Oryzias latipes: one gene and its partners. The protein of the gene in region 1 purifies or fractionates together with the protein of each later gene. This does not show direct contact. Links are inferred from orthologs where the notes say so. Each region holds a gene or a part of one and is shown in the gene's direction. Other genes may lie near its edges.

The links. The genes of interacting proteins can lie anywhere in the genome.
Region 2: the proteins of exoc2 (region 1) and exoc6 purify together in Homo sapiens (affinity purification with mass spectrometry; 5 studies listed by BioGRID and IntAct, counting the BioPlex papers as one, with this or other methods). This does not show direct contact. The link is inferred for Oryzias latipes from reciprocal best matches to the Homo sapiens genes EXOC2 and EXOC6.
Region 3: the proteins of exoc2 (region 1) and exoc7 fractionate together in Homo sapiens (co-fractionation; 4 studies listed by BioGRID, with this or other methods). This does not show direct contact. The link is inferred for Oryzias latipes from reciprocal best matches to the Homo sapiens genes EXOC2 and EXOC7.
Region 4: the proteins of exoc2 (region 1) and exoc3 purify together in Homo sapiens (affinity purification with mass spectrometry; 6 studies listed by BioGRID and IntAct, counting the BioPlex papers as one, with this or other methods). This does not show direct contact. The link is inferred for Oryzias latipes from reciprocal best matches to the Homo sapiens genes EXOC2 and EXOC3.

The regions. Positions count from the first base shown.
Region 1 is NC_019862.2:21,222,845-21,229,355, forward strand, and holds part of exoc2 (exocyst complex component 2), read left to right. Parts: intron 1-1,564; coding exon 1,565-1,626; intron 1,627-2,861; coding exon 2,862-2,942; intron 2,943-3,101; coding exon 3,102-3,161; intron 3,162-4,073; coding exon 4,074-4,135; intron 4,136-4,212; coding exon 4,213-4,282; intron 4,283-6,511. UniProt on the Homo sapiens protein: Component of the exocyst complex involved in the docking of exocytic vesicles with fusion sites on the plasma membrane.
Region 2 is NC_019877.2:23,122,529-23,129,039, forward strand, and holds part of exoc6 (exocyst complex component 6), read left to right. Parts: coding exon 1-153; intron 154-1,537; coding exon 1,538-1,585; intron 1,586-1,681; coding exon 1,682-1,772; intron 1,773-2,568; coding exon 2,569-2,614; intron 2,615-4,339; coding exon 4,340-4,393; intron 4,394-4,525; coding exon 4,526-4,676; intron 4,677-4,754; coding exon 4,755-4,916; intron 4,917-5,330; coding exon 5,331-5,399; intron 5,400-6,171; coding exon 6,172-6,255; intron 6,256-6,484; coding exon 6,485-6,511. UniProt on the Homo sapiens protein: Component of the exocyst complex involved in the docking of exocytic vesicles with fusion sites on the plasma membrane.
Region 3 is NC_019877.2:22,401,156-22,407,666, reverse strand, and holds part of exoc7 (exocyst complex component 7), read left to right. Parts: intron 1-397; coding exon 398-490; intron 491-2,615; coding exon 2,616-2,684; intron 2,685-2,862; coding exon 2,863-3,008; intron 3,009-3,602; coding exon 3,603-3,755; intron 3,756-3,832; coding exon 3,833-3,931; intron 3,932-4,010; coding exon 4,011-4,073; intron 4,074-4,146; coding exon 4,147-4,213; intron 4,214-6,511. UniProt on the Homo sapiens protein: Component of the exocyst complex involved in the docking of exocytic vesicles with fusion sites on the plasma membrane.
Region 4 is NC_019875.2:5,014,226-5,019,511, forward strand, and holds the end of exoc3 (exocyst complex component 3), read left to right. Parts: intron 1-695; coding exon 696-818; intron 819-902; coding exon 903-1,064; intron 1,065-1,170; coding exon 1,171-1,292; intron 1,293-1,603; coding exon 1,604-1,799; 3' UTR 1,800-2,757; downstream 2,758-5,286. Other genes in the region: dnaJ homolog subfamily B member 6-like, read left to right, coding at 3,636-3,700, 4,280-4,389, 5,170-5,235. UniProt on the Homo sapiens protein: Component of the exocyst complex involved in the docking of exocytic vesicles with fusion sites on the plasma membrane.

The DNA.
Region 1 (6,511 bases):
TCCAGCAGCACCAGAACAGATAGATTCTGTGTGTCTAAAAAATCCAAGATCATTAACAATCTTTAAAATCTGTACTGTGGTCTGTCCTACAGTCAGATTGAGATTTTTCCCCCCAAAAATGTGGTCATTTAAAACTCATGCAGTTAAGTAGCAACACTTTATTTTTCCTAGAATTTTACTTAAAAATGGTAAGTTGGATACAAGTCTTCAGTTATCCAGAGTGTTTGGATGTCAATGACTCTTCTTCAAAAGAGGCCTCACCACTGCTGTTTTACAAGCAAGAGGGGAAGACAACCATCTGAAGAGAACAGTTTACTACATTTAAAAGCTCTGACTTAAAGAATCCATCAAATGTTTTAAAAAGTGAAGTGGGAATGAGATCTACAAGGCAGGTTGTGTACTTGAGATAAAACTCAACCAAGACAAAACTCCCCAGTGTTTCCTCTGGTAAAAACAATGTTAATCTGTTAAAATAAGTATTGTACTGATGAAAGACTAGATCTTATTGCATTGATTTTACCCATGAAGTGGTCTGCAAAGTCCCCACATGCAGCATTAGATGGAGGACTTGTTGAAATGTTTGTTTATTAAAATATTACATGAAAATTAATTGAAATTTTGAAATTAAATTGAAAATTTGGATTGTTTTTATTTTCAGAGATATCGAATAGTTGTTCTCACACACGACAATGATAATATATAATATTCATCCACCGGCTGTCTAATGTTACGAGGATGCTGCTAATAAAGTTGTTCAAACGGTGGATTCAGGTTTATTACTATCTTTAGAAAATATCAGTCTTCGTGCCTTTTTTTATTTGTCACTCCTTTAAAGTAGGACGAGGCTGAAGTTGGTGTGCACTTTTGTAGCTCACGGTTTTTTAGGCAAAAAGCATAAAAGCAAGAAAGAAATCAGATTCCCACTTTAGCTTCTTGCAGGCCAGTCCGTGACCTGAAAAAGGTTGGAGCCCACTGATCTGAACAACAGAAATGTTTTGCAAAAGAAAAACTTAAAAAAAAGAAGTTAGAAAATGCATCTGTAACCACATATACTGATTTGTATTTAAACTGCAAAAGCTTGTGCTGATGCAATCTGTTTTTGATTACATTTTTGATGATTTGCTGCAACAGTGGTATTTGAAAACCCCCCAAAAAAGGTGTAGGATGCAGTCCTTCATGTTTAGCTTCGTGGACAACTTTGAGGAAAAGCTCGAGTCGTTTCTACACCTTCAAGAGTTGGAAGAGAGAAAGTGTTTTGAGACCAAAACCAGATTTGTTAAGTTTCACTTGTGGTTAAAAATGGTCATTTTGAGAAGAAAGCCTGGTTTTCTCATGTAACATCTCTCACACCCCCAGCAGTTCCTCACGCACACAAAGACACACAGTTAGAAGGAAATAACTTGTCTGGAATGTGTGGTTTATTCGCAAAACAATAAACATAGTTATTACCAGTTTTTACTGGTATTAAAAGGCAGTACTGCTGCATTTTTTGTAGAAAAAAATGAATCCAATAAACTATTTTTTTTTTTTAGATTTGCTTTATGTTTGTGTTTCTTTTACTTAGATGTGAAGAGACTCGCTGTGAAGGAAGACTGGGTTGTAGACAATGAAGGAATCACCAGCCTGGTACGTTATATATAATGTATATATATAATGTATATATAATTTTTAGGAATTTAAGAACTTTGGTTATAAATATAATGATCAATGAATTACTATTTATACATTTTCAAAAGGACGCTGTTAGATTGAAGTTTTGATTACAAGAATAATTTATTATTCTTTGCATGAACTATTTTCATTTTTGATCTCTGTGATTAAAATTTTTTTAACATATTACTTTTTTAAAGATATTTTGCGCAAAAGTCAAATTCATTTAAACTTGTAAAAATTGTTTTTCTGTCTATGGATTTTATGGACCTTTAAAAATAAATTAATATTCAAACAAAGGTATCAATCTATTTTGGAAATGAAATGTTGTAAATCAGCTTTTTGTGCTTAAAGCATAAATAATCATCATAACTACTTTACATCCAATATAAATATTGTTTTTCTGTCACCCCCTCAAAAGTAAGTACTTTCATTCATATGAATGAACCTTTCTTATGTTAGTTTAATATTTCTTTCTTTATTTATTTTTTAGCAAATTTTTCTAGGCTAAGTTCTAAATGTTCTTTAATACGCACCATAATATTGCTTGGATTTTTTTTTTTTAAATGTTTAAAAGGCTTCAGTGTTGTCTTCTAAAACTATTTCCCCTGTGTGTTAAAATAACCAGCACACTTATCAAAGTTCACAAGTTCCTTCAATGATTAAAAAACAAAAAAAACGTTTTTGTAGCCAAAGAATCAAACAGCTGTAACAACATTAACTGGTACTCTTTTAGCAAAAACTGTGGTTATTCAATTTAGTGTGGAAAATCAGTTTGACGAGGACTGCAGCAGTTCTAGCTGTGAATTTATAGACTTTTATTTACATTGGGAACAACAAGAGCATCAAACATGGTGCAAAAGCATTCAGTGAATTATTTTTGCATCTCACATCCAAAATGGCTATTTTACTCATCCTTTTTACTCAATTACAATCCCTTTTACATTATCAGACAGAAAGGAAGGAGAGATATATTAAAACTTTGTAAATGAAACAATGAAGTAAGACGGATAAACACTAACAGCACTTTTAAATGTGCTTAAAAATAAGCTAATAAAAGGGTTATTATTATTAAGGATAGATCCAAAACAAAGAATTTTCTTGAAGTTCATACCAACTGTGTACAGTATTTTACTTCCATCCATCAGTTCCATCACCTCTTCTTCCAGTTTTTTTTAATCTTGAGTCTGTTTATACTCTCGTTTTTGCAGCCTTACCACTTTGAACAGTGCGTGGTCCAGATGTTGCAGTCCTTCAAAGAACCTCTGGAGACCAAACCAGGAGAAATCAATGTGAGATACTTACCCACAAATCCCTTTGGCTCAATAGATTCATTTCTAAAGGTTCTAGTGTATTTTTTTCTGTTGAGAAACCAAGCTAGAAAGGTAGTGCATAAAGCTTGAATTATTTGGTTCTGGGTTTGTTCCAGTGCTGTTGATATTCTTCCACAGGTGCTGCAGTTAGACCAGGTCCAGGACCAGGCAGCAGAGCTCATAGTGACCATCATGACGGTAATATGATATGCAGATGCCCACAGAGCCAACATTTAACTGGTTTTACTAAGGAAAAATGTTCAGACATGTCAGCATGATTTGAGTCCAGACATTTGCTGAGACATGTTAGTTTTTGTCAGATAACCTTATCTGTTATATTGCAACAATTTATGGAGTTACAGTATACACAAATAAATTTGTGACTCTGGCCCTAGGGCAATATGAAGCTTTAAAGTCCCACTCTGATCATCTTTTGTAAAAGTGTTCCCAGTGGTCTTTTAATTATTATTATGCCGTTTTAGCCAAAATATTCAAACCTGTGTTGTTTTCTAGGATATAGCTTCTGCAGAACAGCATCAGTTCATTAGAATTTCACGTCTGAGTTGTGGGCGGGACAGTCCCATCCCCCTTCCCCTCCCTGTTTCTGAGAGCTCTCTGTTTACACTCTCTCCCGCTAGCTTACAACCCCTCCCATCCCCAACCTAACATTACATTACCAGCATACCAAAAATGCTAAGCAATCTCAGAGCTGTCCAGCTATAAAGTTTTGAGCCAGCGTAGATTAGCAACCCTGCCCCCCTTCCCCTCCCGTTGCAGAGCAAAGCAGGAAACTTGTAGCCCCCCCCAGTGTATTTTCAACATCACAAACAAGTCTATTTCTAACGCCTCCTGCTTCACAATGACTTGAATAAAGAAATACTCAGAAATGTAATTTTAAGCTTAATTTTCATATTATTTGTCCTCCATCTTGAGAAAAATGAGAACCTGTTAAAATGACCAGAAACCCCATTTTCCATCGGAGTGGGTCTTTAAGCCAACTGACAGACACATGAGATCTTCAGCTACTATTAAATCTATTGACTGTTGCTGTAAAAACTGTGTTACGGTGTGTGTTTCTCTCAACACGCCTGACAAATGTGTTGAACTTAGGCTTTTATAAACTGTCTGGAGCAGCTGAGCATGAAAACGGATGGAGACATCCAAGTCTCTCAGTGAGTATCTTTTTAAAATGATCTTTGAGATGATTGTGCTTTAGGGAATGATTTTAAAGTTGTTGGTTTGTCTGCAGCAACATTTCTGTAGATCTGTCCTCTCCAGACCGCTTCGCAGCCGCCCACGAGGACTTCAGTCCAACTTCAGTAAGCAAAATGCCGTTTCTCTGACTTCCACTCAGCAGTTTGGGGTCCACAACTGACAGGGGCCAGAACAGCCTTTGACACATGTTGACGAACGCGGGCGGCACACTCGTCAGAACCACAAACCTTTATCTGTCTGTTTCCTGGTTGTGGACACGCAGCAGCTACGTCCTCATTTCCTGTAACTCGTTTTGAGAGGTTGGTGAAGGGGGTTAAGCGGTGGGGTGGAGGACGGGGTGGAGGAAGAGCAGGGTATGAAGTGCTTCTGGTAAAGGGAAATGGAGCAAGGTGCAGACGGGGCTTCCCCAGCCTGAATGTGTGCAGCGGGAGTCAGGCAGCCGAGCTCGACTACACAGCGCTGAAGACCGGTGTGAACTGAGGGGTCGGAGCGTTGCTCGATAGGGAGGTGCTAAACACGTAATCTCTCTTTTCTGTTTTCGTGTTCGCCTCAGCAGAGGATAAACAAGGTCTTTCTAGTAAAGTAGAGAATTTTTCAAAATAAAGCGTCAGCCCTGTATGAGTGTCTGTGGGTTTGTCCTTCATTAAAATGAGCTTTTGTGTTATTTTGTCAATTATCATTTTTTTATGTTGTGGTTGAAAGTATACAAGTATACAAGACAATAGGGAAGATTTGAAACTATGTGATGATATTGTACTGTTATGCAACCCGAATCTGAAATTGTGTTGATCTGAAAAAACACAAAACAGGCCTTGAAGCTGCAAATGCATTGGTCTCTGCTTCCGCTCCTCTGAAGAGCCAAAACTGCTGTGAAGCTCTCCACAAATGTGAGCAGGATGTAAACATACAGTGGTGGACAAGATTGTTGGTACCCCTCAGTTAAAGAAAGAAAGTCCACAATGCTCATTGAAATGACTTGAAACATTCAAAAGTAACAATAAATCCAGAGTGGACTTCATGGGAGGTGACCAAGGAGGACACCACTGTTGAAAGGAAATCATAAAAAAGCCAGACTGGAATTTGAAAAAATGCATGTTGACAAGCCACAAAGCTTCTGGGAAAATGTCCTTTGGACAGATGAGACCAAACTGGAGCTTTTTGGTAAGGCACATCAGCTCTATGTTGGTAGACTCAAAAATGAAGCATACAACGAAAAGAACACTGTCCCTACTGTGAAACATGGAGGAGGCTCAGTTCTGTTTTGGGGCTGCTTTGCTGCATCTGGCACAGGGTGTCTTGAAGTTGTGCAAGGTAAAATGAAATCTTAAGATTATCAAGGCATTCTGGATAGAAATGTGCTGCCTAGTGTCAGAAAGCTTGGTCTCAGTCGCAGGTCATGGGTCTTCCAACAGGACAACTATCCAAAACACACAGCCAAAAACCCCCAAGAAAAGCTAAGAGAAAAGCGTTGGACTATTCTGAAGTGGCCTTCTATGAGCCCAGATCTGAATCCCATTGAACATCTGTGGAAGGAGCTGAAACATTCCATTTGGAGAAGACACCCGTCAAACCTGGGACAACTGGAGCAGTTTGCTCATGAGGAGTGGGCCAAAATACCTGTGGACAGGAGCAGAAGGCTCATTGACAAATACAAAAACTGTTTAATTGCAGTGATTGACTCAAAAGGTTGTGCAACAAAATATTAAGTTACGGGTGCCATCATTTTTGTCCAGCCCTATTTCATTAGTTTAAACAAAAAAAGAATTCTGTTAATCAACAACTCAAAAGTAATGGCTGATTTTGATTATCAAATTTTCAATAAATTTTAATTTATTGTTACTTTTGAACATTTCAAGTCATTTCAGTGAGCATCGTGGACTTTCTTTCTTTAACTGAGGGGTACCAACAATTTTGTCCATCACTGTACATCTATTTTAGGTGTGGTTCAAATACACGCATAGGGATGTTATTTTATATTCTCTAATACAGTCAATGGTCCACCCCTGCTTACCCCATCCTTACCCCTGAAAAAGGAGGGATTGAAATAGACTTTATCACTTATTTTCATCCCCCCCCCCTCATCTCAGAGGTCTTTTAATTATTTTATGCCATTTTTAGGCAAAGTCTAAAAACCTGTGTTAGTTTCTAGGACATAGTTTCTGTAGAGCAGCAGTCGTTCATTAGAAACTCTCCTCTGAGTTGTGGGTGGGACCGTTGGCGTGAACCAAACCCCTTCCCTCCCGGTGGCTGAGAGCTTTAAGCAGGGAGCGTTTGGCGTATTTTCTACAGCTAAAAAAGCTAATTTTCAAACTTCATTTTTTTTTCTGTTCCTG
Region 2 (6,511 bases), on another chromosome or scaffold:
CCCAACGCTCACAAGCGGTTCATGGAAAAGCTCGATACCCGGATAAGGAACCATGACCGCGAGATTGAGAAGATGTGCAACTTCCACCACCAAGGCTTTGTGGACGCCATCACAGAGCTCCTGAAGGTCCGGGCCGATGCGGAGAAGCTGATGGTAAGACCACGGCTGTGCAGGCGTCACGGTTCTCTGTCCTGGTCTTTCATTCAGGGCGGATTCTGACTCGCACAGAGCTGCAGGAACAGTAAACATGCAAAAGTTGGACCTCAGAGTTTTTACAGTTCTAGCTAAATACCTGAAAGTGAGACCTAAAAACCGACTTTTTCCTTTGCTGTTTGGAACTCTGCTCATGTGAAATGCTTCTGCAGAATGACATAAAGAAAGTGATTATCTCGTTGTTTCCCGGTTGGGAAGGCCGTCATCCGAAAGCTGACTGGTCAAATGGGTCATGGCTCCGTGCCGCATGACAAGAGCTGAAAGTTCAAAAATCCACCTACAGAATTGAGAAGTTTGTCACTGAATCTGTGAGAAAGAGCCTGTCACAAGCCATTAAACCCCATGAAAGGCCCAGCGCTCCGCCGATGGGTTCAGGTCCCCGCTGCCTGGTTAATCTGAATTTGCCAGCCTTTGTCCGTGCTCCTCCATGGACAATGAGCTGATTACAAAGCTGAGCAGCTGCAGGGAGGGAGGAAGAGTGGAAAGGGCATGAAGAGGGAAGCAGAAAGAAAACAGGTTCCGCCGCGCTTCCTACAACACACATGGATGCTAAGGGGGGAAAAAATGAGACGTCACCTTCATCCCTCAACCAGAAAGGGTCTGAAAACAGCAGCTCCTTCTCACATCTGTGCGCTGATGCTGAGGGAAACTGAGACGGTGAGCTGTAGCTGCAGCTCTACAGGATGCTGGAAACGCATCCGAGTCCAGAGGAAGGACTCGGTAGGACACCTTATCAGCTGCTCCTGCTTTACTGCAGAATCCTGCAGCGCATAGGAAATAGAACCTTAATTGATCCCACAATGGACAAATGGATTCGTTATCAAAACTAAGAAGATCACAGATAATAAAAAGCACTAAAATACAATAAACAACATAATGAAGTCTCCTGCACGTCTGACCTTTATTCAAATGGGTCTTTTTATTCTTAACCAAATTAAAATATAACATTTCATTTGTTTTCTGCTAATTGTATTGAATTTGATTTTTTAATTATAATTATCTCAATTAAATGTATTAAGTCCCACAATCAGAGTTACTTTTTTTCTTTTCATTATTTTCTCAAATTTGCTGAATTCGATGAAACAGTAGAGCAGCAAGAACAAACACTGCTTTCATAGTCGCTGGAGGACGGGCCTACAGAGATGTTTTTAGGGGTTTGTTTTGTGGAAGGAAAAAGATTCAAGACTTGAATTTGTGACCTTTTCCACTGAACTATCCGCTCATGTGTGGAAACTGCAGCACATGCTCCGTCCTGGTGTAGATCTTCCTCCAGAGGGTCTTCTGAACAAAACATCTCAACTCTGCTTGTGCTTTCATTTCTAAGGGTCAAGTGACGGACACCAACCGAAGACTCCAGGAAGCAGGGAAGGAAGTAAGTGTGCTCTCATGATGTCCAAACTCAGCCTGTGGTTCCACCCCCAGGACCTTACACCGCTCTGGTTTTGCCATCCTCTCCTTCCTCCTCCAGGTAACGGCTCAGACGGAGGAGGTCATCCGCTGTCGCATCCAACAGAGGAACATGGCCACCACAGTGGAGAAGCTCCAGCTCTGTATTCCAGGTGTTTAAGGCTCACGTCTGTTTCTCTAGATATTGGTGACTTCACCAATATTCACCAAAGATTAATACTCTGCGCACACAATAATTAATGCGCACAAAAAGACGTTTACACCGAATAACTACAGGAAAAACAGTGAGCTGTCTTACACTTTCACTGCCCTGTCCGTTGCTATGGAAACTGGGTTCTTGCTGTAGAGGATGCAATGGTCGGTCACGTCTGTGGCTGTGTCCAAATTCCTTCACAACACAGTGCGCCATAAAGCGCCTTCACCATTTTAGAGTGCTGTCCGAGTCGACAGTTCCAACATTTAGTGCCCTAGAAATTTCCCAGGAGTCTCTGCGTAAAAGCAGTGGGCATCGATGATCACTAGATTGGCGCATATAGACCACAATGCATTGTGTTTGAACAATATTTGCAAAAGAAGAAGGATTTAAATATATTTTTTAAATAAACCATCAATGTTTTCCTCTTAAATGGTCGTCGTAAAACGCTCACACCGGTTAGATTTTCACTTTGTGAAAGCGGAGACGGCGTATTCGCCATTTAACAAAAAAACAAACAAAAAACTAGTGAGCGTGGTGTCGGAGTTGCTTTTAAAATCCAGGACACTAGATTGTCCGGCACGATCGAGTTTTGTATTATTTAGGGGTTAGGGAGGAAATTTGGACACAGCCTGTGTGCTTTGATTTCAGCTAAAGCAGACTTCTCAGTTGGATGTCTATTGTGTTTTCTCTTTTCACTGTAAAACAAAAAACTTTTCAGGAATGTAATCCTGTCCTCCTTCCTTCCTTTGTAGTGCTGGAAATGTACAGCAAACTGAAGGAGCAGCTGACATCCAAAAGGTAAATGTCTCACCGAGCATTCAACCAAAACTCCTACATAAATTTGAACTTCTGAAAGCCCCCATCAGGCACAAACCTTGGGTCCTGAGAGCATAAACAAGTCTCTACCGTTGGTTCCTTTCCACTCAAGTCCCCGTCCTTGTCTCTCAGCCGTCTCTCTATCTGTTCACTGCATGTAACCCCCAGGGAGATATCGGGAACATTTTCAGTCTGACCCCACTGGATTCTAACCCACGATGACCCAATGTCAGGGTGGACACTCTTCCACTGGGATAGGCTTAAGCCACAACTGAGTCTTTCCTGTGTGAGTGGCGCCGGATAAGGATAAGGGTGGAGGACGAGCGCAGAGAGAACCCATCCTATACTTACAGTTGTCGATGTTTATGAAAAGAAAAACGTTTCCCTTCAACTCAGCACGCTTTGACGAAGGATTTTCACTCCATATTTTAGGAGCTTTAAAAGCCAACAGAAAATATTTAGTCGAAGGAGTTTGAATGATTGGAGAAATGACGGTCCTGACAGAGATCTAGACGATGCAGGACATGTGCAGCAGGTTCCTTTCAGACTTTTCAACCCCTGCCCCGTTCTGCAGCTCCCCTGAACTTCACTTTTACCCCCTGAACTTCCCCTTGAGCTGTGTTTATGTGCCTGCCTGTATGAAGAACGGAGGGGAGCTCACTTTGGACAGGAAAATAATGACCCTTTCTTGTTCATGACTGTGTTCCAAAGAAGGAGACCATTCAGTGGAAGGACAATTGACCCTCAGTATGCCCTTGTTCACAACAAGGCCCCCTCACTGCCGCTCCGCTGTGGCCCTCAGCCAATCCAAGTCAATTAGACCATGATGGCCACCATGTGTGTGTGTGTGTGTGTGTGTGTGTGTGTGTGTGTGTGTGATGGTGAAGTGTACTTCAAACACCAGTGGCAGAGCTTCTGGACTCGTCAGTGAGTCGTGTACGTGGCTGTGCGTCGTCCGTTTTGCTGCCCTGCATCTTGATCAACCTTTTCGCAGTGCAGTTTGTGAGAGTGTCTCCTTTATTCGTTTGTCAGCGACACATTTTACACTCCCTGACCGACCAATTAGATCCCTTCACAGCTTGCTTAACAGTCTAATGATGGGAGCTTAGCACACTGACCCAACATTGAACTCCACGTCATTTATTCCCAGACTGTGAATTAAAAAACAATTTAAAAAATCTAAAACCGAAAAACTTTTAGAAAGGAACTGTGCTGCATTCATGCAAATGAGGTGCATCATACCATGGTCTGGGTGAATTCATGATTCTGATTGGCTGCTGGGTGTGCATTAAAAAGTGATGGACCACAACTGCACGCCTAGAAAAACGGTCCAAACCGTAAAAACAGCAAGAATAAAGGACTAAAAACTAGTTGAATATGTCATGGTATAAGTGGGTTAATGGCCTTCCAAGTGTGCATTATCAGAAATGAACTCACTTGTGTGCATTCATTTCTGATAATGCACACTTGGTCAGCCCTTACATATACACTAAGAAGTAGCGTTTGAATGCGGCTGCCGCTGAACAGAACTGTTGAAACATCTTGTCTTTGTCTCGGCTGAACGGAAATCCTTCTGCTTAATGAAAAAGTGGAAAAAAACGTCCCGAGAAATGAGAAATATATCAAACGTGTTGTGGACAAAGTGCCTCAGAGGCGCCACAGCAGCAGTCTGTTGTCCTCCAGCCTCAAGTCGCTTCCTCTCCACAGGTACTATGCTGCTCTGAAAACCATGGAGCAACTGGAGAAGGTGTACATCCCCAGGTAGGATCACGTTTGCTGTTCATCCTTGAATATGAAGAATAATTCCTCATCGTGCAGCTCTGCCCGACTTCCATCAAGAGCCATTTCAAAATGCACTTGTGAGAGAATGAGGGGCTGTGTTTGTCTTTACAGAGTGAGTCAGTACAGGTTCTGTCAGATCATGGCTGAAAACCTGCCCAAACTCAGAGAGGAGATCAAGGACGTCTCCATGTCGGACCTCAAGGACTTCCTGGAGAGCATACGAAAGCATTCAGACAAGGTTGGAGAGACTGCCATCAGACAGGTGGGTCCAGGTGTGACGGCAGCTTCATCCTCAGCCGAGTGGCTTGGATCCATCCGCCTCACCGTGAGTTGTGCACAGGCGCAGCAGCACAGGACCTTCATCAGCACGGTGGCAAAGCAGGCCGGCTTAGACCACTACACCAAACCCCTGTTCTCCCTGAAAGGACGAGCGCACTCGCACATGCCCAACGGTCTGCTGATGGATGACGGTGCAGGAGACGAAGAGGACGCTGATGATGAGGTGAGGACATATTCTCTGGTCTGCATTGCAGGTCTTTCAGTGTTTGTCTGCATGTGGTGCAGACATCCTCATAACTGTCCAGGTTTATCAGTGCTGTGTTGTTGTTTGACTACAACTATGAGCAACACTGATGGGAGAAACGTCTGATCTTGCAGTTACCTTATAATAAAAGTTAAATCAATAAATCCGGAAGAATATATAGGCCTTCAACTGCTTTAGTTTGCTTTTGGAGTCAGACTAAAAACTGTTCTTGGAGCCTAAATCCTAAACTTTCCAGGATTCCTGAGGCTTTTGTTTTCCCTTATTTAGTTTTTCAAATTGGAATATGGAAATGGCAGCATTGAATTTCATTCGGCTCGTCAGATTCGCAGGTCTCTTGTGTCTGACCTGATTTCTTGTGTGTGTGTGTGACAGATCCTTACAGCTCAGGACCTGGTGGACTTCTCTCCCGTCTACAGATGTCTACACATCTACACGGTGCTGGTAAGTGTTTTCGCTGCAAACACACTGTTCTGTGTTTTGATGCTGATGACACTCTGAGACGAGTTCACCTGCAACACCTGACCGTCCAACCTGAAGGCGCCTTGGCCGTGTGGTGCTGCTCATCCGTTAAGCAGCGTCGTGTGTTCATGGCTGTTTGAATGATGACCTTGGAATGACTTTCTGACTAAATCAGCTTTTCAGACCCACAGAACGTTGGCATTGATGCCACATCGATAATGTTTTTTTGATTTTGGCCCCTTGAACTTTTCAAGATATTCCAGGATTTCGGCCTCCATTGAAATCTATGGGGAATCCTTGGTGCAGAAGCTCGCTGGTTCAATACCCGGCTCTTGTGTTTTTCACAGACACATCTTCTTTGTTATTGAGCTGTTTTCACTTTATTTATGGTCAACTTTGATCATTTCTTTCTTTCCTTCTTTGCCAATTATGACTTTCATTTTCATTCATCAATATAGCATCAACTCTGCATTTTCAGCTCCTTCTAGTCATCACTGTTTTTTAAATGGGGCTCCAGCTCTTCATTGTGTGGGCTGCAGCGCTGAGCACCGGACGAGGTGGAAAGATGGTTTCACTGCTGATGCAGTTTTGTCAGAATCCTTTTGTCACTTGAATGCATCTCCTGACACCAAAGCCAGGGAAGCTGGTTCCGTCTCATTCAAACTGATTACATTTTTCTGATGTCGATTAGGAGAATGAGTTTATTTGGCGCGTGGGGGGGTTGTGTTAAGTGTGTGTGTGTTTGTGTCTGCAGGGCGACAGAGAAACCTTTGAGAACTACTACAGGAAACAGAGGAAAAAACAAGCACGGCTGGTTCTGCAGCCGCAGGCTAACATGGTGAGGATGAACGTGCCCTCCCTGTAAACCGGCATCAGGGATTCAGACGTGTGGTGCACGGCTCCACAGAAACCTTTATGGAGCAAACCACATTAAAAGACTGCAAACATTAGTGAATGCATCGCAGAAATACAGGAAATGCAATGTTCTTTGTTTTGGAGCTGTGGTGGAAAAGGAAGTGGAAACGACATGAATGCATGTCTGCTCACAGCATTTGTTGTGCTTCCAGCATGAGACGGTGGAAGGCTACAGAAGA
Region 3 (6,511 bases), on another chromosome or scaffold:
CAAATGTTCCACCTGCCTACCAACCCACAATGCGCTGAGGCTGCGTTCGTGCTGTAATGTTTTCTGGATGTCATCTGATTATGATCTGCTGATGTTCATGTATGACCTGTGACCTAACCTGTGTGCTTTCTTACATGTGTGTTTCCACACAGCAGTCCTGTAGTGCTGTTGTTGGGTTGACTGGTTTTGGTGCTATAGGTGGTGCTCCCTCTCCCCCACCCCAAAAACAAACCCTGCTGGTTGCCCCATTGGTGGAGGGATGTGGTGTCTGCCTTTCATCACACTCGTTTCCCGCTTCTTTTTCTTCTTCCTCTTTCTTCTGGTGTTTCTTGGTTGTCTGGACCTTGCTGGCCCCACTCCTCTCCTCTGGACTCTTTCTCTGTGTTTGTGGGACCAGGGACCATTCGCAAGGCTCAGAACCTTCTGAAACAGTACTCACAGCATGGGCTGGATGGGAAAAAGGGGGGTTCTAACCTCACTCCTTTGGAAGGTAAAGCACCTTGGTCTTCTCTGTCTCTTTTTTCCAGCTGGTTTCAGTCAAACACAAAGTCCCAACAGCCGGCCAAAGCAGCTTCTAGACTGTACCGCTTCAGATCATTGGACACATGATGGACAGCACTCACGATGAACGGAACCATTCTGCAAGTTATCCCTCTGAAAAAGCTGACTTTGGTCTGCAATGTTCATTATAGAAACATTTTGACACAATGTGAATACAGAATCCAGAAAGCACAATGTTTGAGTTTCTTTGTATAATAGAGCAGAAAATAAATGTTCAGTCACTGAGAAAAGTTCATCTCAGTACTTTGTAATGTGGTTCCAATGACAGAGGTCAAAGGTTTGGAACCGATAGACTTTTTGTAACTGTCAGTAGCAGTTCCATTGTGGGTGGTTCATCAGGGAAATAGTAAAAAAAAGTTGAAAAAAACATTATATAGTAAGAAACAGCACAAGGCTGGCTCCTGTTCCCCACAAGGTTTCCTGAAGATTTTCAGACGATCTGAACTGTAGTTGCTAATTTGGTCCATTCTTCCATGCAGATCTTCTCTAGAGCTGTGCTGTTTTTGGGGCTGTTGCTGGGCAACCACTCCCTCCACAGATTCTCCATGGATTGAGGTCCAGGGACCGTTGGAACACTCTAGAACCCTGAAATCCTTTAGACACTCTTTACTTTGCTGGGTGATCTTTGGGGGATTCTTTTAGTAATGCTGGAAGATCCAGACATGTTCCATCCCTGATGTTCTCCCTATTGGAAGGAGGTTTTTGTCCAAAATCTCCCCATACGTGACCCAATTCCCCTTTTGCTTCATACGGATCAGGCCGGTCGTTGACCGGCTCCCCCTGTAGTTCTGGACTGTGTACAAACTTGTCCCTGGTGTCCTCAGACAGCTCCTTGGTGGAGAGGTCTGCCTGTATAAGGGTGTGGACAGGTGTCTTTTCTACAGGTAACCAGTTCAAACAGGTGACATGAACACAGGTAACCAGTGGAGGATAGAAGAGCTTCTTAAAGAAGGAGGAACGGGTCTGTGAGGAACTGAATCCTTGCTGGCTTCTAGATGAATCCTTATTTTCTGCTCCATTATACAATCATTATTTAAAGATCAGACATTGTGATTTCCTGCATTCTTTCTTTACATTTTGTCTCTCACATTAAAGTGTTTCTATGATGAACATCTCAGACCAAACTCAGCTTTTTAGAGGGACGACCTGAGGAATCTGTGGCTGACAAATATGTTTTTGCTTCACTGCTTTAAAGCAAACATTTGTCTTCAGGCGTTTTTAACACAAACCTCACTTGAAGTCAATTGGCTCTGCTAAAAAAATTTCTTTTAATAAAGTTCAAACGGATTTTTTATTTTAGTTGACCCGGCTTTGAATATTAGGTTGTCTAAAAATGCAAAATAAATGCATTTACACCAACAATGTTAAGTTCAATTATTCCAATGTAATTCAGTCTCCACTCCGTCCTTTGCCCCCACAAAGACATGTTTTTAGAAAACCTACAGATTAACCAGCAATCCCATCAGTAATGAAATTAAAAGGTTTGATATGATGAAGATAAAGTCAAAAGTGGCACAAGCACCCAAATCTGACCTCTTACTTCTTTAAAATGTCTTTTTTGATTGATTCATTTATGCATCAATTCAATTCAAGTTTATTTGTAGAGCCCAAATTCAAACAACAGTCGTCTCAATGGGCTTCGCACCGGTAGACCATGAACACATGAGACCTTTCTCCCATTAATAGCTTTCAATCAAGTCGGGTCGGGAAGTTATCAGGAAAGAAGAATTCATTTTCTGCTTAAACTCCCATCCAACTGATAAACTGGTGTCAGACGTGGGGTTTTCCCATTTTCCCATCAGGAAATCTGTCAAAAGCTGCAATGAATCCAAAGCTGTTGTGACATTTGAAGCTGGTTTTTGTCCCACAGTTTAACATGTAGACTGGTTCAGAACCAGTTTACATTTCACTCATCTTGGGTGGGCACGCCCTGCCTTTTCTCTCTGGTGCTTGGTGGTGGGCGGTTCAGGTCAGGTTTGTCCCCTCTCCCCCCTCTTAGCCTAGTCTTGACCTCGTTTTGACTAGTCTCCCTGCTGGCCCGCCCCACCCACCAGGTTACGATCATGACCCACGGGTCAAACACATCACTGAGGCCCTGACTGAGAAGCATGGGGCTGCCCCAGGTGAGTGACGAATTCCAGAAGTTCAGAGGTTGATCAGAGAGGCAACCTCAGCTCAGTTTCTTCCTTTAACAATCAAGTTCTTATAAAGTAAGAAGTTAAACTCCGGGCTGAAGTTGTTGTTTAGATCCTTGTCTTATGTTTTGTCAGCTGACGGGAGCTCTTGTTATGCAACTCTTAGGGAAAGACGATGTTCTTGACATCGAGATCGACTCCTACATCCACTGCATCAGTGCCTTTGTGAAGCTGGCTCAGAGCGAGTACGCCCTGCTGACCGAGATCATCCCTGAACACCACCAGAAGAAGACCTTTGACTCCCTCATCCAGGTCAGAGGAGTCAAACCAGGGAGCTTTCATTGAGGATTTCCCAGACAATTTGGTTTTAGGGGTTAGACGTAGTGACACAAAAGTATTCAACAATCCTTTTATCTGTAATCACCGGGCAGAAGTACAGCATCAGATATGCAGGAAGGGCTCTTGAGGATTTAATCAGGTGCTGCTGTTGAAAGTAAAGCTTCTGTAGAACATCCACCTGAGGTTCCAGGTGTTGGTCATTTGCTAAAGGTTTCCCTACCATCTACAGTAATGAAACTCCACAGTCAAGAAAAAATAAACCAAAGCAACAATCAAATTTGAAACCTCATTCTCCTCTGATTGCTGACATCAACCATCCAGTTTTTTTCCTTTTTTAGGTCATTCTCTGTTTGTTGGTTGAGTGTCCAGTAGATGAGCAGTTGACGCTAAAAACTCTTTAGTCACTCTTACTGTTTTTCTTCACCGTATCTGACCATTGATACCATAGATTACCATAGACACGGACACCTTTTATCTGGCTGAAAGGATTTTAATGATTAAAAGCAGGACATTTTTCCCTAAGCCACATTCTGGTTGCATGCTCAGTTTCATCATGTCTGTCCACAGGAAGCATTGGACAACCTGATGCTGGAAGGAGACAACATTGTGTCTGCAGCTCGCAGGGCCATCATGCGCCACGACTACTCGGCGGTGCTCACCATCTTCCCCATCCTCAGACATCTGAAGATGAACAAGTCAGACTTTGACTCCACACTTCAGGTTGGGTCTGCGGCGTCTCATTTCTGGAAGAAGCTGGTCTTGGGGTGTTTAGCGACTGTACTTGATTTGACGTGCAGGGAACGGCGGCGAGCACCAAGAACAAACTGCCAACGCTCATCACGTCCATGGAGACGATTGGAGCCAAAGCACTGGAAGAGTTTGCAGACAGCATTAAGGCATGCGGCTCCCACTTAAACCACCCCTTGTCTATTGGCTGCTGGTCATTTACATGGGTTTTCTCTCCACTAACTACAGAATGATCCTGATAAAGAGTACAACATGCCCAAAGATGGAACAGTGCATGAGCTCACCAGCAACGTAAGCTTGGTTTCTGCTCTGCACTGCCTCTCCGGTTATTTGCCGCTTGTTTGAGCTCTCTGTCTCCGTTCAGGCCATTCTGTTCCTGCAGCAGCTGCTGGACTTCCACGAGACTGCAGGAGCCATGCTGGCATCTCAAGGTTTGCTCCTTTGTGTAGCTCTGCAGACGTCCACCCACCACCTGTCTGTCTGAAAACATCATGGCAGATACACAAACACGAGCACCCAAAGGGAATTCAAATTTCAAGTCAGTGCCAGGCATCCATTTCTTCCTTTCCAGCCTGCTCATGTCAAGAATTTGATAGATTTTAGCTACAGTGGGGGACAGGAGAGAGAAATATTGAACAGGAAGACAGTTCCTGCCAAATGACAGAGGAGAATGGCGAGAATCTGCCTGGAATTTTGCAAACCAATAGAAACAAACCTGGAGACACAGAGATAAGTGCAGAATCTCATATTAGCTGGAGAACGAACCATCTCAGTTTCTCCTTTTACCGTAAGGTTCAGCTTTTTTGTGTTGAGTAGCCACTGCTTTTTAAGCCAATAAGACAGTAAAATGAATGGTGCGCGCCGATCGACGAGCATATATTGAGGAGCTTGCTGAGGAGGCAGAAAGAGCTACAACCCGAGGAGAACAAGGCCAGCTGTACAGAATTAGTCGACAAGTATGTGGAAAACACCACTCTACTGTCAGCTTACCAATTAAAGATAAACAGGGGAAGCTTCTCACAACAGAAGCAGAACAAGATACCCGCTGGGCTGAACATTTTCAGGAAGTTTTGAACAGAGATCCACCAACAGAAGGAGCAGATATTCCAGAAGGAAAGACAGACCTAGACATCAACACAGACCCACCAACAAAGGAGGAAATTGTCTCAGTTATCAAGTCACTGAAAAGCAATAAAGCACCAGGTCACGACAATTTGAATGCTGAACTGTTCAAGACGGACACAGAAACAGCATCAAAAATATTGCAACCTTTTTTCAAAACCGTTTGGATATCAGCAAGCATACCAGAAGAATGGACTAAAGGTGTAATCATCAAAATTCCAAAGAAGGGCACACTCAGCGAATGTAACAACTGGCGTGGTATCACCCTTCTGTCCATCCCCAGCAAGATTATGGCCAAGATAATCATCAATAGGTTATCGGAAGCTGTGAATGCAATACTTAGGAAGGAACAAGCCGGTTTTAGAAAAGGGAGAAGATGCACGGAACAGATTTTTGCTCTGAGAAACATAATAGAACAAAGTGCTGAATGGCAGCAGCAGCTCTTCGTTAACTTTATAGACTTTGAAAAAGCATTTGACAGTGTGCACAGAGACAGCTTGTGGCGAATCTTGAGGGCTTATGGAGTACCGACCCACATGATAAAACTGATAAGAAGCTTCTATAACAACTATAGATGCTGTGTGGGAGGAAGTGACATCTGGTTTGAAGTGAAAACTGGAGTCCGTCAAGGATGTGTGATGTCAGCTCTCCTCTTCAACGTAGTGATAGACTGGGTGATGAGGCGCACGACTGAAGCAGGACCAACTGGCATCAGATGGACACTCTTCTCCACCCTCGAGGATCTCGACTTTGCTGACGATCTGGCACTGATCTCTCATATTCACCGACATATGCAAGACAAGACTGACCGGCTAAGCCGATTTGGATCCCAGGTTGGTCTTAAAATCAACCAAAGCAAGTCAGCGATTTTGACCTTGAATACTACGTCACAGCCCCCCATCAAGGTCAATGATCAGAATTTACCATTTACTGAAAGCTTTACTTACTTGGGTAGCATCATCACATCAGAAGGTGGAAGTAATAAGGACATACAGAACAGGATTAATAAAGCCAGGGTTGCATTCATAAGCATGAACAATATTTGGAAGACATCACAGTACAGCACTAAGACAAAACTGAAGCTCTACAGCAGCTGTGTTCTGTCAGTATTACTGTATGGAGCAGAGTGCTGGAGAATGACACAGCAGGACTTGACCAAACTTTCGACCTTCCACACCAAAAATTTAAGGAGGATATTAAGAATTTTCTGGCCCCAAAAGATCTCCAATGAAGATCTATTCCTCCGCAGCAATCAAGAAGACATGTCATCAATTATCCTCAAAAGACGCTGGACATGGATAGGACATGTACTCAGGAGTGAAAACCACACAATAATAAAGACAGCACTACATTGGACACCAGATGGAAAAAGAAAAAAAGGACGGCCGAAGATCACCTGGCGCCGAACAGTAGAAACCGAGCTGAAGGAATTTGGACACACCTGGGGAACCATCATCACCCTGGCCCGCGACCGTCAGAAGTGGAAAGATTTCGTTGCTGCCCTAAGCGTCTCAAGGTGTAAAAGGCAGTAAGAAGAAGAAGAAGCCACTGCAAACTGCGAGACTGCTCACAGTTTTAGTTTTGAGATCGAGTCCAGTGATTGTGTC
Region 4 (5,286 bases), on another chromosome or scaffold:
ATGTAAAAGTTCGGATGTTTATTTTTCGGGGGAGAAACTCAGGCACACTGCTGAGGCCGACTCTAGGATGATGTCATGAAATGGGCGGTACCCACAGGAGAGAAAGGCGGAGCCTTAAAGATCAAGTCAGCTTACTTCAGGATAGCAAAAGGGGCTGTGAAAAAAACTCATATTTTATAAAAAATGGTTCTTTAGTGTTTCAAAGGTAATATATGATCATATATATGGATATATTTTACTCTGACAGGCTAAAGAAAAGCACGATACAGGCCTTTTAACTCATCTTTTTCCTCGTCCTCATCCTTTTCTTTGGCTCCTCCTCCTCTGAGCATGTCTGAATCTGGTTTCACATCCAATCATCTTGTTCTCCTGATGCTCTTATTTTCTCCGTCCTCATTTGTGCTTAAGAGAACTTCATCATCTCCATTTCTGCTGAACACACTTGATCCAGATAGTTAGCTGCAGGCTGTGCAGGGAGGGCTGGGTAACAGAAGTGGATCTGGAGGACCAGGATTCAGCAGTCCTAGCCTTCATCCCTCTTTGTTCCTCTTCACTTCTTTCCTCCCAAAACTCTCTTTGTTTACTCGGACATGTCAAACGTTAGAAGTATGAGGGCTACGGGGCAGAGAAACGCCTGAGACCTATGTGGTCAGAGCAGTCCCGGTCCACTAAACTGTTCCGGTTCTGTTGAACAGCATCACCTGAACGAGCTCCTGACCCGGAAGTGGCTGAGCGGCTCTCATGCTGTGGACACCATCTGTGTGACGGTGGAGGACTATTTCAACGACTTCAATAAAATCAAAAAGCCCTTCAACCAGGTACAGTGAGACCGGGTTTTAAAAACGCAGACCCCCCTCCTGCAGGAGACTGTTAGCATGGCTGCCGCCTGCGTTTTTCTGCAGGAGATGACGAAGGAGGCGCTGCGGAGGGTGGTGGTGGAGTACATCAAAGCAGTGATGCAGAAGAGGATGAGCTTCAAAAACGCTGATGAGAGGAGGGAGGGCGCAGAGAGGATGATCAGGGAAGCCGACCAGTTCAGTTTCCTCTTCAGGAAGCTGGCGGCGGTGAGTTTCTCTCTTTCACTGCACCGGTCGCACTTAGGAGCCACCAAACCCCCACCCCCCCACCCCCCAGAGCGCTGCACAGTTGGTCAACTTCTGCCTGCTGCAGGGCGAAGACACAGAGCGTCTGTGCGGCGCCATCACCGCCATCGCTGAGGTGTTTAAGCTGACCGATCCCACGCTCCTGTTCCTGGAAGTCACCACGCTGGTGTCCAAATACCCCGATATCAGGTGAGGTGTGACACAGCAGAGGCATCACTCCTGAAGGCACAGTGTGACAATGATGCAGTTATTGAGAGCAAAAATGACCATTATGTCAAGTTTGACTATAGATCAGTGGAAATTTTCAATATAAATACATATGCACACAAATTGTCTCCAAACATGACATTCCTCCAGCTTTAAGGGTTCATTTCAGTTGAATTTGGTCAGTCTGAGTTGATCATTCAGAAATGAAGCCTGTGTGTGTGCGCCACCTGCAGCAGTTGTGTTGGGCAGGTGAGGCAGCTCTTCTTCTTCTTCTTCTGTCCCCTCTGCTGCAGGGAGGACCACATCCAGGCGCTGCTCACCGTTCGAGGCGACGCCAGCAGAGAGATGCGGCAGATGATCATCGGGACTCTGAGCGAGAACAAGGTGGCCAGCTCTGCCGCTTCGCAGCCCATCTTCAGAGACATTCCTGTCCCCACCATGTCCATGACCTCCATGACCTCCATGGCAACTTCAAAGCTGCTCAAATAAAGCGGGAACCACCTCTTGAATCTTCTCCCTCCACATTTGATTTCAGGTTTTTCTTCTCATTTGTGCTTCAGCATCTATAAACCCAGAGCTGTAAACATAACTGCAGGGTTTCAGGTTTCAGATGACTGAGCTGCAGGTAGGACGTTTCAAAGGTTCGGTCCTGCTTGTGACCATGCCCAATGTCATTTTCTCATGGTGAAGTGACTGAAGCAAGCCCCCATCTGAGGCACCATTGCCTAAGCTCCGGTTCAGTCTACAGCAGCTTGACTCTTTCAGTTTTTGAATGTTTGGTTTGATCCGGTAAAGTCCATCACAGGGTTTTTGACCGCCATTTTTTATTAATTTCAATGTTCGTTATGAAGAAACGGGGAATGTTTACACTAATCTTCCGCTGATGAGGGATTGAAACATTTTCAGTTCAAAGGAAGATGCAGTGTAGATGCATGATGACCACTGGACAAACAGAAAAACCTGGATTGGTGGGGGCAGCATGATGATAAGGGGGGCATCAGTGGAGATGGGATATTGTCACTACAAACAGATGTCAGGACCTAAAAACTCCACAGGCTGGGACTGTATCCTCAAGATGCAACATGCACCCAAAAAAAAAACTACACGCGTGGCTTAATTTTTGACTTAAAAATATAATTATTTTATCAAATACAGTGTCACATATTTGTAAGATTTTTAAAAAACTGAAAATAAATGTGTGCCTCTTTTCTTTTGAAGTTTAAATATCCAAAAATGTTAATGTCTAGTTATATTTTTGCTTTGTCAGTTTGGGTTTCACAAAACGACATGTCATTGCATAAACATTTGTCACTTTCTTAGACTTAAGTAACTTAATACGGTTACTGACTTTGAAATCACTTGAATTAATGAGTTGGGTGGTAATTTAAAAACAATGTAAAATACTTGGGATGTTTGATTGCAAAATAAAAATTAGATTGAAAATTGAGTTTCTATGACTAAGTTGTTTATTACCGACAACCCGCTGTTTTTAAGCAGAAATGTCGCTGTTTAAAGGTGGTGTGTCACCGAGTCTCCGGTAGGGGGCAGCAGAGCCCAGCGCGGACGTGACTGCAGAGAAGAAGAAGAACAAGGGAGCCCTGGACGCCGTGTTTTATTTGGATCGTCTGCAGATTTGTGGACATGACTGACCCAGTTCGGCTTTAGTAGCAGTTCGGACCCAAACATTAACCGTCCGTCACATCAGCATCGCCTTTCGCCGCTGACAGACCGGGTATGGACTTTTGACAGCGTTTCATGCTAACTCGTGCTGAGCTGTGCTAAGCTAATTTTGCGGGCGGAGGACGAGAACCGCGGCAGAGACCAGAACCGATCTCAGATCTGGTTTCTGACGCCAACGGCCGTTTGCTCGGTCAAGGTGAGAGACCTGAGACCAGGGACCCGTTTTGAGTCCAGGGACCAGATCTCAGACCAGAGGCCAGAACAGGAACCAGCTCTGAGTTTAGACAAAGATCTGAGACCAAGCAGATCCCAGTCCAGGGGCCAGAGTCCGGTCTGATTAGCGACAGGTCTTCCTCAGAGCGTCGCTGCTGCTTTGGCCCCAGCTCAGACTAGTAAACAGGTTCTCCTGATCCCGGATCAGGCCCAGCAGGCTGTCAGGAAGCTGACCACCAGCGTCCTTGGCCTCCTCCTGCAGGACCTGGTCTGCTGTCTCCTCCTCTGCCCACATTCACCTCTTCACTTTGAGTGTTTGATCTTCCAAACTGCTGCTCCTCTGCCCCCGCTCTCTGATGCTTGCTGACCACGCCCTCTTCTTCCATATGACTCCTCCCCCGTTTCTTCCATGTGCAGGGGCATCTCCTGATCATGGTGGACTACTACCAGGTTTTAGGAGTACGGCGGGACGCGCCTGCAGATGAGATCAAAAAAGCGTGAGTAGCTGATCAAAGGTCTTCTTGTTAGTTGGGTGGCGACTGCCGGCTCTCCGTCTGCCCCATGGAGCCCTTCTTCCTGCTGGGATGCTGATACCTGAAGCTGAGCACCAGCAGCTGACGGAGAAACACTCGGCTCATGGAGTTCTATTTCTGTGGGAACGTCTGCCGCCGGCTGCAGACCAGACGAGGTTTCTTCTCATCACCGATGCCATCTGCCCTTCTGTCCCTCTTGTCACCAGTGCTCACCTCTCCCTCCATCTTCTTCAGAATCAAATGTCATAATGCAGCTGCATGTTTTCCTCTGCATTAAATCACAGGGAGAGGGTTAATGCAGGTCAAAAGTTGTTCCATCCCTCCTCTGGAAGTGCTGAGTCCCGCTTGATGGAGAAGTGAATATGTTGGTGTGGTAAACTCCATCCCTCACACTCAGGACCACGGAGGTTTCAGAAGTTCACAGCCCCTTCCACTGTGTTTCAGGCTGAAGCAGAAAATGTCTGACTGACACAAAAAAACCTCCCCCGGAGTTTCAGCAGATGCTAACCCCAGCCGGGTGGTTGTTCTGCTGTCCTGCTGCAGGTACCGTAAACTGGCCCTCAGGTGGCACCCGGACAAGAATCCGGACAACAAGGAGGATGCTGAGAAGAAGTTCAAGGAGCTCTCCGAGGCGTATGAAGTCTTGTCTGATGGTGAGCGTTGCAGCTGTCCATCACTCACAAGCCTAATGGTTCAGTCTTTATGAAACCAGCCTTTTTTTTTTTTTTTAGTGATTACCAGATATTCTGGGGGGGAGACTGAGGAACCTATAGACTACTGCCCCCTGTTGGCTGCTGAAGTTGTTACCAACCAGACAGATTTATTTCAGATTACGTCTAAAGAAGCTGTGCTCAACAAAAGGCTGTTTTTCTTCTAATTTGAAATGTACTACACTATTCTATACTATAGTTTTTAGTGAATTTGACACCTTCATGTGAACTTTTCTGGTCACGGTCATGGCTGCTGACCTTTAGACCTCAGAAATCCAAACGTTTTACTGCAGAAACGTTTTAGTGCATCTCCCTGCAGACACCATCTCTGAAGAGTTGGGGTCACCCTTCGGTTATGCTGCTTTCTCAGATGATTGTGGTCATTTTAAGATTCACGCTTTCCCACACACCTTTCTTCCGATCTCATTCTCATCCATGAATGTATCAAACTTCAGGAAATATTGTATTTTTTTTGTCTTATAGCTGATTCTATAGTGTATTTTAGTGCCTGTGGGTTTCTCTGCTGTTCTTTCTGACCCAGCTGATCCCTGGTTCTTACAGAGTCTGGTTCTGAACATGTTCTTCCAGTCACAGACATTGAATGTTCACCTTCTGTAGACCAACGACCTGGAATCTGGTTTAGTCCATGTGTGACGTCAGAGAGACTTTTGTAAAACAGGAATTTTTTTGATTTTTGCCGTTTTGTTGTTTTTTACCTTTCAGTCAACAAGAGGAGCATCTATGACCGACACGGCAAAGAGGGGCTGACGGGACACAATGGAGGGAGAGGTGAGCAAAGAACATCAGTGATGTCACCTCCGATATAAAAGACACCGCTCC